2 linked regions of the Arabidopsis thaliana genome follow. The protein of the gene in region 1 interacts with the protein of each later gene in a pairwise test. Each region holds a gene or a part of one and is shown on either strand. Other genes may lie near its edges.

Region 1 (8,326 bases):
TTTTGATTAATGACTGTCCCTTTGGGTTGATTATCCTTCAAAGAGGTTTGAGACAGGGTGACCCATTATCTCCATTTCTCTTTGTTCTTTGCACTGAGGGTCTCACTCATTTGCTCAATAAGGCTCAATGGGAAGGAGCTCTGGAAGGAATTCAGTTTTCTGAGAATGGCCCTATGGTGCATCACTTGCTCTTTGCTGATGACAGTCTTTTCTTATGCAAAGCTTCAAGAGAGCAAAGTCTGGTCTTACAAAAGATTTTGAAGGTGTATGGTAATGCGACAGGTCAGACTATTAATTTGAACAAGTCTTCAATTACTTTTGGTGAAAAGGTAGATGAGCAATTGAAAGGTACTATCCGGACTTGTTTGGGAATTTTCACTGAGGGTGGGGCTGGGACCTATCTGGGGCTTCCAGAATGCTTTAGTGGGTCAAAGGTTGATATGTTGCATTACTTGAAGGATAGATTAAAAGAGAAACTGGATGTTTGGTTCACCAGATGCCTTTCACAGGGGGGTAAAGAGGTATTACTTAAATCTGTTGCTTTAGCGATGCCGGTTTTCGCTATGTCGTGTTTCAAGCTTCCCATTACTACTTGTGAAAATTTGGAGAGTGCAATGGCATCTTTTTGGTGGGATTCTTGTGATCATTCAAGGAAGATTCATTGGCAAAGTTGGGAAAGGCTGTGTTTACCAAAAGATAGTGGTGGTTTGGGGTTTCGTGATATCCAGTCTTTCAACCAGGCTCTTCTAGCGAAGCAAGCGTGGAGGCTGCTTCATTTCCCGGATTGCCTCCTTTCTAGGTTGTTGAAAAGTAGATATTTTGATGCTACTGATTTTCTGGATGCCGCTTTGAGTCAGAGACCTTCCTTTGGTTGGAGAAGCATTCTTTTTGGCAGAGAGCTTTTGTCTAAAGGTCTTCAAAAAAGGGTAGGTGATGGTGCCTCTTTGTTTGTATGGATAGATCCCTGGATAGATGATAATGGTTTTAGGGCCCCTTGGAGAAAAAACCTGATATATGATGTGACTTTAAAAGTTAAAGCCTTGTTAAACCCAAGAACGGGGTTTTGGGATGAAGAGGTTCTTCATGACTTATTCCTGCCAGAAGACATTCTCAGAATTAAAGCTATTAAACCAGTGATATCTCAAGCAGATTTTTTCGTTTGGAAGTTAAATAAAAGTGGAGATTTTTCTGTCAAGTCTGCCTATTGGTTAGCTTATCAAACAAAGAGCCAAAATCTGAGAAGCGAAGTCTCTATGCAGCCTTCTACTCTAGGGTTGAAAACTCAGGTGTGGAACCTTCAGACTGATCCAAAGATTAAGATTTTTCTTTGGAAGGTGCTTAGTGGTATTCTTCCGGTTGCCGAGAACTTGAATGGTAGAGGAATGTCGTTGATACCACATGTCAGGTCTGTGGTGAGCTTGGGGAATCGACGAATCATACCTTGTTTCTATGCCCACTCTCTAGACAAATTTGGGCTCTTTCTGATTATCCTTTTCCTCCTGATGGTTTTAGTAACGGCTCTATTTATTCCAACATCAATCATCTCTTGGAGAACAAAGATAATAAAGAATGGCCTATTAACCTCAGGAAAATTTTTCCATGGATTTTGTGGAGGATTTGGAAAAATAGGAACTCTTTCATCTTTGAGGGGATAAGCTACCCAGCTACTGATACAGTGATAAAGATTAGGGATGATGTGGTGGAATGGTTTGAAGCTCAATGCTTAGATGGTGAGGGTTCTGCCCTTAATCCTCCCCTGAGTAATGGTGTTCATTTTGTAGGCAGTGTATCGGAGAATTTATGGATTAAACCTCCAGCGAATTGGGTTAAATGTAACATTGGGGCTTCTTGGTAAAAAAGAAACAATTTTGCTGGAGGGGCTTGGGTTTTAAGAGATCAGGATGGTATAGTGTTGTTACACAGTAGACGTTCTTTTGCTCCTATCTCTAGCAAGGCTGATGCTTTGCTCAGATGTCTCCTATGGGCTATGGAGAGTATGGCCAGTCATAAAATTGATAATATTATCTTTGCCTTTCAAGATAAGTCTCTGATTGGTGCAGTGTTGAGACCAAGGGCGTGGCCTTCTTTTAAAGCTCAGAGTGTGGCTTTAAATAGATCATAGTTACCTTTTTTGGTGTGGAAGGTGGAATTGGAATTTTCTGCTGCAAACAGAGGAGCAAACCTCATCGCCCAAAGTGTTACGGAGGCGTCTCGGTCTCAATCCTATGTGGCTGTGGGGCATCCTTATTGGATGAATGGTGTGTTTGTTGAAGAAAGAGGTTTGTATTCTGTTTGATAGTGAGAAGTCGTTTTGGTGTTGATGCTCAGTGTTTGAGATCAATGGTTTGTATATGGAGGGTTTGGCTTATGTGGTGCTCGATGGTTCAGAGCTTATTCTTTTTTGTTTAGACCACTTTTGAATATGTTGGAGTTGGGTCTTGTGGTAGGCTAACTTGTTCGCTTCACTTTGGTTTAGTTTAGCCTTGTAATCGGTGGTTTCATATTCTGAAACTTTTAATTTTCTAATATAATCCAGATGACAAAAAAAAAAGGTATTTTTGTGAGTACCCAACTTCAAACTTGACCTAAAAATAAAGTAATAAAAAAAGGAGCAAACAAAGAGGATAATCATCTAATTATTTGACTCAATAATATGCATAGATGTAAGACCTCAGTTTGGTTGCTAGAATAGCTCTGTGTTATTGAATATCGAATTTGTCATTTGCTACGAACTTGATCATGATAACCCTTACTTTTAAAGTTTTTCCTAACAGTAATTTTCCTCAGTTTATCAAAAACACCACCGTTAAATGGTAGGACTGGTCCAAATGATTATAGAACTTCCAATGAGAAAAAATATATGATATTTGACAATTATAATTTACTATCAATAAAAGTAAGTTTCTTTTTAGTTTATTATAATCATATATATTTCAGTTGTATTCAATTTTATAATGCTAAAAGCCTAAAACTATAAAACCGTTCCAAAATAAATAAATGAGAGTTTTGGAATTTTCATTATTTTTAAAAAGAAACAAATCTCAGTAAAAAAAAATACAAAAAAGAAAATATAATAAAGAAATGTAGATTTACGAACAGTGCAAATGCATTTTGTTAAAATGCTATTTCAGCAAATAAAGAAACTAAAATAAGATACTGGGCCTAGTTACACAAAAGAAAAAAGAAAATAATACTGGGCCTTAAAATCTATGATTTTTATATATCTGGGCCTGTAAATACAGAAAGATTGCGTCCTTTAACATTCTTTCCTTGGTCAGATGAAAAGGAAACAAATCATTTATTAACAAAACCAAGAAATGGGAAATAACAATAAAAGCACTTCCCTCGCTCAAGTCAATTTAATATTTCCAAAAAAAGCAATAAAATCTGCCGTTTCGTTTTTTCCTTTCTCATTCAATTCAAGAAGAAGAAGAAAATCTCCGCCCAAAAAGTTTCTTCCTTTGAAGTCTTTAAGCCCTAATCTATCACTGTCTGTGAATCAACGCCTCCCTGCGTTTGTTTCTCAGTTGAAAAAAAAAGATAATGATCGCAAAAAACTTCCTCCTTTTGCTCTGTTTCATTGCCTTGGTGAACGTTGAATCGAGCCCTGATGAGGCGGTCATGATAGCTCTGAGAGACTCCTTGAAGCTATCTGGAAATCCAAACTGGTCCGGGTCGGATCCTTGTAAGTGGTCTATGTTCATAAAATGCGACGCAAGCAATCGGGTCACCGCGATCCAAATCGGGGACAGAGGAATCTCAGGAAAGCTACCTCCTGATCTCGGAAAGCTAACATCTTTGACGAAGTTCGAGGTCATGAGGAACCGTTTAACAGGACCAATACCGAGTCTTGCTGGGTTGAAATCGTTGGTAACTGTGTATGCTAATGACAATGATTTCACTTCTGTCCCTGAGGATTTCTTCTCTGGTTTGAGTTCTCTTCAGCATGTTTCTCTGGATAACAATCCTTTTGATTCTTGGGTGATACCTCCGAGTTTGGAAAACGCGACTTCCCTTGTAGATTTCTCTGCTGTCAACTGCAATCTTTCCGGGAAGATCCCGGATTATCTCTTCGAGGGGAAAGATTTCTCTAGTTTGACGACTCTGAAACTGTCTTATAACTCGCTTGTATGTGAATTTCCCATGAATTTCTCCGACTCACGTGTTCAAGTTCTGATGCTTAACGGGCAAAAGGGAAGGGAGAAGCTTCATGGGTCAATTTCGTTTCTGCAAAAGATGACTTCTTTGACCAATGTTACGCTGCAAGGGAACAGCTTCTCCGGTCCTTTACCAGACTTTTCTGGTTTAGTCTCGTTGAAAAGTTTCAATGTTAGGGAGAATCAGCTTTCGGGTCTCGTTCCCTCTTCTTTGTTTGAGCTGCAATCTCTTTCTGATGTTGCTTTAGGTAATAACTTGCTTCAAGGACCAACTCCAAACTTCACGGCTCCTGACATTAAGCCTGATCTGAATGGTCTCAATAGTTTCTGCTTAGATACTCCAGGTACTTCTTGTGATCCCCGTGTCAACACGTTGCTTTCAATCGTTGAAGCCTTTGGTTACCCGGTGAATTTTGCGGAGAAATGGAAAGGAAATGATCCTTGTAGTGGATGGGTAGGGATCACTTGTACTGGAACTGATATCACAGTTATCAACTTCAAAAACTTGGGGCTCAACGGCACTATATCTCCACGATTTGCTGATTTTGCGTCTCTTCGTGTTATTAATCTCTCTCAGAATAATCTTAATGGTACTATTCCACAAGAGCTCGCTAAGTTGAGTAACTTGAAAACACTGGATGTTTCGAAGAATCGGTTGTGTGGTGAAGTACCTCGTTTTAACACAACTATTGTTAACACGACTGGGAATTTTGAGGACTGTCCTAATGGCAATGCTGGAAAGAAAGCATCTAGTAATGCTGGGAAAATTGTTGGTTCTGTTATTGGTATTTTGTTAGCTTTGCTTCTTATAGGGGTTGCTATTTTCTTTTTGGTCAAGAAAAAGATGCAATATCATAAGATGCATCCTCAACAACAATCTAGTGACCAAGATGCGTTCAAGATTACAATTGAGAATCTGTGTACTGGTGTTAGTGAAAGTGGATTCAGTGGTAATGACGCTCATCTAGGAGAAGCTGGAAATATTGTGATCTCAATACAAGTTTTGAGGGATGCTACATATAATTTCGATGAGAAGAATATACTTGGGAGAGGAGGATTTGGAATAGTTTACAAGGGAGAGTTGCATGATGGAACAAAGATTGCGGTTAAGAGAATGGAATCTTCGATTATAAGTGGAAAGGGTTTAGATGAGTTTAAATCAGAGATTGCTGTTCTTACTAGAGTTCGCCACCGAAATCTAGTGGTTCTTCATGGTTATTGCTTAGAAGGCAATGAGAGACTTCTTGTTTATCAGTACATGCCACAAGGGACATTAAGTAGGCATATTTTCTATTGGAAGGAAGAAGGGTTGAGGCCTCTCGAGTGGACTAGACGGTTGATTATTGCATTGGATGTGGCTAGAGGAGTTGAGTATTTGCATACTTTAGCACATCAAAGTTTCATACACAGAGATCTTAAACCTTCTAATATTCTTCTTGGAGATGACATGCATGCTAAAGTTGCTGATTTTGGTTTAGTCCGGCTTGCACCAGAAGGTACACAATCAATTGAGACCAAGATTGCTGGAACATTTGGTTATCTTGCACCAGAGTATGCAGGTATGGTTTTATGCTTATTTTGTATGTTGCTACTCGTTCTAAACTCACTAAATGTAAAATATTGAAATCTCTATGTACATTGCAGTGACCGGAAGAGTTACAACAAAGGTTGATGTTTACAGCTTTGGAGTCATCCTCATGGAGCTACTAACGGGTCGAAAAGCTCTTGATGTTGCACGATCTGAGGAAGAAGTACATCTTGCCACATGGTTTAGGAGAATGTTTATCAACAAAGGCTCATTCCCAAAGGCGATAGACGAAGCAATGGAGGTCAACGAAGAGACACTCAGAAGCATCAACATAGTAGCTGAGCTTGCCAATCAATGTAGCTCCAGGGAACCGCGAGATAGACCCGACATGAATCACGTTGTCAACGTGTTGGTCTCACTTGTTGTACAATGGAAACCCACAGAACGAAGCAGTGACTCGGAAGATATCTATGGAATTGATTACGACACTCCTCTTCCTCAACTTATTCTTGATTCGTGTTTTTTTGGAGATAATACTCTGACGAGCATACCTTCGCGACCTTCCGAGCTTGAAAGCACATTCAAATCAGGACAAGGGAGGTAAAATGTGTTAGAGAATTAGCTGGAACATGGAATGAGAAAGGTTTTGCTGTTGGATGAGTTCTTGTTTTAGGTTTGCGGATAGTGAATATATCTTGTTGGTTACCTTCCTTTTCAAGTTAGGGTGTCCTTTTCGCACGAATGGAACCCATATGCTTAAATTGGACACGTGTTTTGGTCTTTTGTCGTAGACTAGCTGGACACTTTCTAGATATTTAGAAGTTTAGGTTGGGCATTGGCATTGTCTCAAGAATTTATTTTGATTGATGTATCATTTGAGTCAAATGGTTTGACATATATAATTTTTTATTTTATAGTTTTCCCGAATTTCAACTGATTTCTTTTATGGTTTAAGACATTGTACATCACAATTTGTACATTTTTATTGTGCTTTACATCATATGCTACGTACATAAATGATCAGGCATCAAACTTTTTTTTTAGTTGTCTCCTACGAGTTGTCTCTACATGGAAACATTCAGGCCTTGTCTTATTTTTTAATACAGAAGAATGGAAAAAACACAACAAATTATCTCATTTAGCTTTCATGTAATCCATCAATTAATGGAGATTATACGGGGCTAATACAAATTTAGGCACATTTTGGGTCAAAAACAAAAAAATTGTATTGTCATCAACATTACTTAGTTTTATTCCATGCATGATGGAACTTTGGTTGAGGATTTCGATCCCTCACAAGGTAAATTCCATCATTTCTAACAACCCAACGACGCAGAGCACCACATCGGTCAATGTTGCCTGCTCTATATGCTATGAATTCTTTATAATATCGCATGTATAAGCCGTGTTTCAAAAGACAAGTCCATCTTGTTCTTCTTCCTAGCTTGTCTCCGAAACGGATTTGTTTTATTTCCTTAAATTATAAATTTGCTACGTCTAGATTGTCGTCTCTTGAATGACAATGATACTGGAGAACCAAACCGGGACCAAGCTCGTTCATAATTTCAATTGTGTTACGTTTACAAGACAGAACTGATACAAGCAATCCAAAATACGTCGCAATAACAAACATAAAAATTATAAAACGATTCATTTTTTGGGTAACATGAAAGTCCAATTTGAATTTAATGACACCAAAGTACAGTATCTATAGTTATTTTGTGTGGTTAGTATTTGACGATTTTCCTATGGCCTTAATGAATTAGTTAAATTGAAACACAAACATGTTAGTTAATAATAGATAATGTCTAAAAGTATTGTTGACTAATAAAAAAAGCCAAATGAATTCAACATTACAAATTATTAGTGATCCAAAAAAAACTAACAAAAACCAAAATTTAAGATATAACAAATTTTTTTGCAAGTATATTAATTTAATTCCGGACGAGACAATTTGGAAGAACTGATTTGAACATAACAAAATAACAGCAGCCCTTAGGCAAATGCATGTACATTAAGTTTAACTATAAATGACCTTTAGCGGACTAGATTTTAACATAATGAGTTTATAAAGAAGAAGAAGAAGAAGAAGATGAGATCGTTAAGACATTCGAGTTTCTGAAAAGATGACTGTAAGTCAGATCAAATTTCCAATTGCTCATGGATCTGTTATGACTTTCTCTAATCGTGCTCATTATTCCGGTTGAGAACGGGAATGGAGCGAAGAATGATGAGGCTGAATCCCAAAGAACATTGTAAAATCTCTCTTTTAGTGTTCTTGAATCTCGGAAAATAATTAGGTTTAGGTTTTCATATTTTTAGTTGATTTTGGTAGGTACCCGTTTTGTTACTGGAACCTCAGTGGTAACTATCAAGTACAAAGATTAGATTTTAATGGCTTCTGATATGGGAGGTATAATGCTCTCTACCTAGTTTCAGCTCTCTAGTTATCTTGTATATGATTGATACTCTTTGTTACTTTCTTGGTAGATAAAGCATGCATGCTTCATTGTTCAAAAGAGTGCTTGCTAATTTGCTATATAGATAAAAGATCCAGATTCTGGATGTGTAAAATTTATATGATGTTGTAATTCACTTGTAGAACAAGTGTATCTTTTAATAATCAGAAAATATTGTGTGG
Region 2 (6,675 bases), on another chromosome or scaffold:
GCCCATATTTGGTAGGCGATTAATTTATAGAACTTAATTTTGCCTAGATGAAGAATTCAATAACATTCTATGTTCCTAAACCCAATACAAATCCTTTTATTCATTCGTTAGATTCAGTTTGGATAACTGTAGTATCATGTTATCACGATATTAAATGCGATCAGGTCCAATAGCTTTTCCTTGCACATCATATTTTCTGCATATTAGTCAAACTGTATTTGCATCACGCATTTTTTTCTTGTTAAATGTATCTTTCATATGTCAGCTAAACAAAGACAACAAATGCGAAACTTTCAATTATACTGTACAATAATTTGGATTACATTTAAAGTGGTAGTTGCAAGAATATTAATAGAAATACTTTCGGCATTTAAAATAATCTTGCTGTGAATGTCTACTCGTTGAACTTTGAACCAAAAAAAAAAAAAAAATCTAAGAAGTATAATAATTAGAGACTAATAGAGTCAATAACTCATTCTTTAAAATATATAGAACTAGCTGGAAACAATAGATTTGAATGGTACTACTTAGAATCCAGCAGGGTTCTTTAAAGTCATCATGAAGCAATGCAAAGTCTACCACTCTTGGCGTAATTGTTTTTTGGCACAAAAGTTAATGCAAAAGTCTTGATTATCGCAATTTTTCTTATGATGCCTTTGGTTTCTAACATCAGAGGATAAAAAAAGAATTTCACGAACAAAAATTGTGAATTTTGATATGCATAGAGGCGAGCTATAGACTCCCTAACGTGCTATTGCGTCGAGCCGTGGTGCTTACCTAGTTACACAGTATAACAAGCCTGCTTTAGTTTTATTTCATAAACCAATATAATGTAAATCACTTACTATGGCTTTTCGTATTTAGTAAACAATTTTACATTTATAATTTTCAGTTGACCTAAATTAAAAAATATGTACTACAATTAATCAATAGTTACTACGTATTACTAAAGAATCAATATTTGTTATGTGGTAATCAATGATGTCACGTCAATTCTTGACATTATTTTGTACGATTTAGAAAGCTACCGTCTACTAAAATATGTGCATAATTTAACGTTCATTATTTTAGAAAACAGTTTGCTTTGTCTATTTTTCTGAGTGTCAACTCTCATTTACAACTCATCAGTAAATATATAGATAACAAGTCACAAGTGTCTCCCATAATGATTAAGTTAGGTTGACTTAAAACATGATTAAGGTCAGACACACACACACATACATATATAGAAAGCTTTCAGTTTTTAGAACTAGTTAGTGACAATAAAAAGCCTATTGGTGAAACATCAGCACTTGTAACAACTTTTAAGTATATTTATTCAAATACATCATAATAGATTTTTGATCAAAAGAGATCATCATGTTCCTAAAAGTAATACTTGACTTGAATTTTCATGGCTTGGCACAAACTGAGAGATAAATGTCTTTTTTCAATCATTAAATATCTTAAAATATATATATATATATATATATATATATATCTTAAACATGAATGTTTTTGTTTTGGTATAAACGTGAATTATTCATGAACTGTTAATAGGTTTCAATGTCAATTGGATCGAATTATTGTATATATCTCTTGCTTGAAACTATATGTCGTGTGTCTTCATTTTTTTGTTTTCCTAATTGAATACTTTATACATGCATGTAGTATTATTATACAAAACCAAGATAATTTTTTTTAATGCTTCTGTTGATGATCTGAGTAATTTTGGACATATCTAAGAGTTAAGGGTGTAAAGTGCAATTTTCAGCAAATAAAACGTGGTTCCCGCTAACCCATGTTATCATTTTTGGTTTCAACCTTCAGCAAACTTAATTAATATTTGGTTATGAACTTTATTAAAATTTTGCAAGATTATCATAAGATTGTCGTATAAAGAGTGCTGAATCTTGACTTAATTTCATAAAACTGCTGATCTAAAATCGACATCTATGTAGTAAGTTCTGATCGGTTTGCTTGAACATATACGGTTGAGCTAGGACAATTATTCTTTGATTTATTACTTTAAATACTAGTATCAATTTTATTCACAAATTTATTTTTGTAATTTTTTTATACAAGCCTTTAATTTACCTTTTTTTTATTCACACATTACATGGCAATCACTTAATCACCAAAAACCGTATAGGATTAGGATCGTAATTTGCAAGTTATTAAGAAGATTTGGCAGATTACATCTCTAATTCAATAATGTTGTTACGTCACATAACTTCTTAAATAATTGATAAACTCTCTTAAATACGAACTTAATTGGTCTAGCCGGAATCTAAAGTCAACCCTAAACTCCTCCTTCTTCCTTTTAAGAGACACACAAGAGACAACCTTTCTTCTCCGTATCTCTCTTTCTCTCTCTCAGCTCTCTCAAACATGTCAGGAGCAATAACATGCTCTGCGGCCGATCTCGCCACCCTACTTGGCCCCAACGCCACGGCGGCGGCCGACTACATTTGCGGCCAATTAGGCACCGTTAACAACAAGTTCACCGATGCAGCCTTCGCCATAGACAACACCTACCTCCTCTTCTCTGCCTACCTTGTCTTCGCCATGCAGCTCGGCTTCGCTATGCTTTGTGCTGGTTCTGTTAGAGCCAAGAATACGATGAACATCATGCTTACCAATGTCCTTGACGCTGCAGCCGGAGGACTCTTCTACTATCTCTTTGGTTACGCCTTTGCCTTTGGAGGATCCTCCGAAGGGTTCATTGGAAGACACAACTTTGCTCTTAGAGACTTTCCGACTCCCACAGCTGATTACTCTTTCTTCCTCTACCAATGGGCGTTCGCAATCGCGGCCGCTGGAATCACAAGTGGTTCGATCGCAGAGAGGACTCAGTTCGTGGCTTACTTGATATACTCTTCTTTCTTAACCGGATTTGTTTACCCGGTTGTCTCTCACTGGTTTTGGTCCCCGGATGGATGGGCCAGTCCCTTTCGTTCAGCGGATGATCGTTTGTTTAGCACCGGAGCCATTGACTTTGCTGGCTCCGGTGTTGTTCACATGGTTGGTGGCATAGCAGGTTTATGGGGTGCTCTTATTGAAGGTCCTCGTCGTGGTCGGTTCGAGAAAGGTGGTCGCGCTATTGCTCTGCGCGGCCACTCTGCCTCGCTAGTAGTCTTAGGAACCTTCCTCCTATGGTTTGGATGGTATGGTTTCAACCCCGGTTCCTTCACTAAGATACTCGTTCCGTATAATTCTGGTTCCAACTACGGCCAATGGAGCGGAATCGGCCGTACAGCGGTTAACACCACACTCTCAGGATGCACAGCAGCTCTAACCACACTCTTTGGTAAACGTCTCCTATCAGGCCACTGGAACGTAACGGACGTTTGCAACGGGTTACTCGGTGGGTTTGCGGCCATAACCGCAGGTTGCTCCGTCGTAGAGCCATGGGCAGCGATTGTGTGCGGCTTCATGGCTTCTGTCGTCCTTATCGGATGCAACAAGCTCGCGGAGCTTGTACAATATGATGATCCACTCGAGGCAGCCCAACTACATGGAGGGTGTGGCGCGTGGGGGTTGATATTCGTAGGATTGTTTGCCAAAGAGAAGTATCTAAACGAGGTTTATGGCGCCACCCCGGGAAGGCCATATGGACTATTTATGGGCGGAGGAGGGAAGCTGTTGGGAGCACAATTGGTTCAAATACTTGTGATTGTAGGATGGGTTAGTGCCACAATGGGAACACTCTTCTTCATCCTCAAAAGGCTCAATCTGCTTAGGATCTCGGAGCAGCATGAAATGCAAGGGATGGATATGACACGTCACGGTGGCTTTGCTTATATCTACCATGATAATGATGATGAGTCTCATAGAGTGGATCCTGGATCTCCTTTCCCTCGATCAGCTACTCCTCCTCGCGTTTAATTTTCAACTTTTTGGTAATTTATTACCGTTTAAGTATTGTTTGGGTTTTGGTTTTGAAATATAAATATTTGGATGTTTTGGTTTGTTTTAAGTGACCTATCGTCTTTTTGTGTTTATAAGTGTTTTAGTTTATGTTTTTTTTTTTTTTCTTGAATTTTAATTTTACATGCCTCGGCTAATGTTTATGCTATTTCTTAGAAATTTATATATACAACTTTTGGTGATCCAAAAAGGAGAGTTATGCATATACTGTATACAACTTTGCTTAGGTTTTTGTTCTGCCGACGGCATTAGGAAATTGGAGTACACAAAAGTTGTTCTTAGAATAATATAAATTCTGAAAAATCATTTGTGTACCATTTCGTACCAAAAGCAGAACTTAGTCATTCCCTTATGTACACGTAAAGCGATTTTTTCCAATTAGTTAACTAGCCACGCTTAGGTACACGTAGATATTATCTTTTACTTGAACGATGTTGGTTAATAAATAATACTAGAAGAAATATGACATGTCATTACATCTATGTAACTGGTCACTTGTTTAGAACTATTGAACTAAGCCTAATGGGTTTTATTAGCCTAACAATTGTTGCTATTAATCGTACAAACTAAAATTAAAATATAAATCAAATTCTTGCGTCCTCGATAACTTTAAACAAAGGAGTATGACCCATATTTTGTGGTTGATAAATTTTAGCACCTAATATTTCAATAGTATTTTTTATTTATTTCAAATTCTGCTAAACAAAAATTTTTATAACATATATTCCTTGTTTGTATACACTTTCGAGACCTGTAGAATCATGGAATTACGATGCAATTCCAGTAGCTTATACCTTGCACATCATCTTTTTGTGCATATTAGTCGTCAAACTGTATTTAAATATTCTCAAACGTATATTTCATATGTCACCCAAACAAAGACAGAACATTGTACAAGAATTTTGATTACCTTTAACGGGTCGTAGTAAGAAAAAATATTAAAATAATTACGAACCAGTTAAATATTCTTGCCCGTATAGTTTAGACTTAGAGTTTTATTTTATTTTAATTATCTATCGGTAATCCGACATTTTACCACCCAACTAATTTCTTAGAGTGATTATAGTCGTCAAGTACTAGTGTATTCACCAAATTTTCTAATAATAAAGAAAAAAAATATAACACTATTTCGACTAGGTAAATAACAATTGATGTAGATAATTCAATGTTTTGTAATGAATCTTTTCTTGTTCTAGACCGACAAGGCAACGCTTCCTAGAATGGGAATCGCTAAACCACTACCACTTGATTTATATATTTGTTTACTACTTAGAATCTAAGATGGTTCTTTAAGATCCTCTAGCATTGCAAATCAACCAGTATTGAGTTAAATTGTTTTGGCAAATAGCCAAATATGTTAATGCAATTATTATGATTATCTATAGAGTTTTTTTTATGATGTTCTTGGTTATTAAACACTCAATCACTATTATAGAACATAAAAAGTAATTTCACGAACAAATATTTTATAGTCTGATATGCATAGAGGATAGCTAGAGACGCCGCAATGCGCCGTTGCATAATTTCATAAAACAGAAAACGTCCCAATGTGGCTTTTCGTATTTAGTAAATTTTTAGTTCTTATAGTTAATTGTCAGTTGACCTAAACTAAAATATAATATGCACTATAATTAATCAGTAAATTAAACGTATTATCAAATAATTAATTTGTGTTATGTGGTAATCAATGATGTCAGGTTACTCTGTATGATTTTAAAAGCTCCCGTTGCAATTAAAATATTTATCGTTCGTCGACGACATTAGATTAAAAAAAAAGTTTGGTTTTGTCTATTTTCCTGAGTGTCAAATCCCAATATTAATGTATTCTAAATCGTATACTTCTTCGTTTTCCATCAGCTAATTTGTAATCTAGTAAACTTATTTATTCTCCTTCGTACGTATATATTCACTAGTGAATTTACAAGTATGTCTTATAATGATTAAGTTTACATATAGGCATAGTTGGAACATTACTTATTGCTACAATTTTATCTATAAACTATACTCATTCTTATTCGACCATTGTGGTTGCTAATATATAGAATCACATTAAACGCCATTGATTTGTTGAATTTTAAGATCGCAAGTGAAATTTTCAACTAATAAAACGTGGTTCCCGCTAAACCATGTTATCATTTGCAGTTTCGTCAGCAATTATATTAATACTTTACAAGTTCATTATATTTAAGATTTTCGTATTAAGAATGCTGAATTTTGACCTGATTCCCAAAAAAAGAGTTGCTGATCTACAACTAGCAAGGTGCCACAAATTGATTTGCTAGAAACCCTAGAAGTACTAATTTTGTTTATATAATTCTATTAAAATAGAAATTAGAAGATACTCAGGTACATGTAAACGTTTTTTCCCCGAAAGTAAAAGCACGAATGAGCTTCCCTTTCGTGTGAGGTGGTGTGACAGTGTGAGTCGAAAACGGCGACCAACTCTCTACGGGAATCTTCTTAGATTCCTTGGTCAAATATGTTTTGCTTACATATGCTACAATTGAATAGATCATATTTTTTATTTTTAATATCTTTTTGCAATATTATAATGTCGTCATTCATATTTTGGGTTAAATTTGCTTCCATCAGCTTGCTTAGATTGCTAAAAGAAGCATGTGATAAGGGAATTTAAACTCCCTCTCTCTCTTTTTTTATAATAAGAAACTATTGCGTTTGATACCAAATAAAAAGTACATGCCAATCACTAAATTTCCAAAACCGTATAAGATTCTCGTATATTGCAAGTAGTTTATAAGATTTGTT

The links.
Region 2: the proteins of AT1G24650 (region 1) and AMT1;3 interact in a protein complementation assay, tested with the Arabidopsis thaliana proteins (one large-scale study listed by BioGRID).

The regions. Positions count from the first base shown.
Region 1 is NC_003070.9:8,731,027-8,739,352, forward strand, and holds AT1G24650 (Leucine-rich repeat protein kinase family protein), read left to right. Parts: upstream 1-3,543; coding exon 3,544-5,716; intron 5,717-5,801; coding exon 5,802-6,289; downstream 6,290-8,326. UniProt on the Arabidopsis thaliana protein: Involved in auxin signal transduction and cell expansion and proliferation regulation.
Region 2 is NC_003074.8:8,803,050-8,809,724, reverse strand, and holds AMT1;3 (ammonium transporter 1;3), read left to right. Parts: upstream 1-2,264; 5' UTR 2,265-2,370; coding exon 2,371-3,867; 3' UTR 3,868-4,206; downstream 4,207-6,675.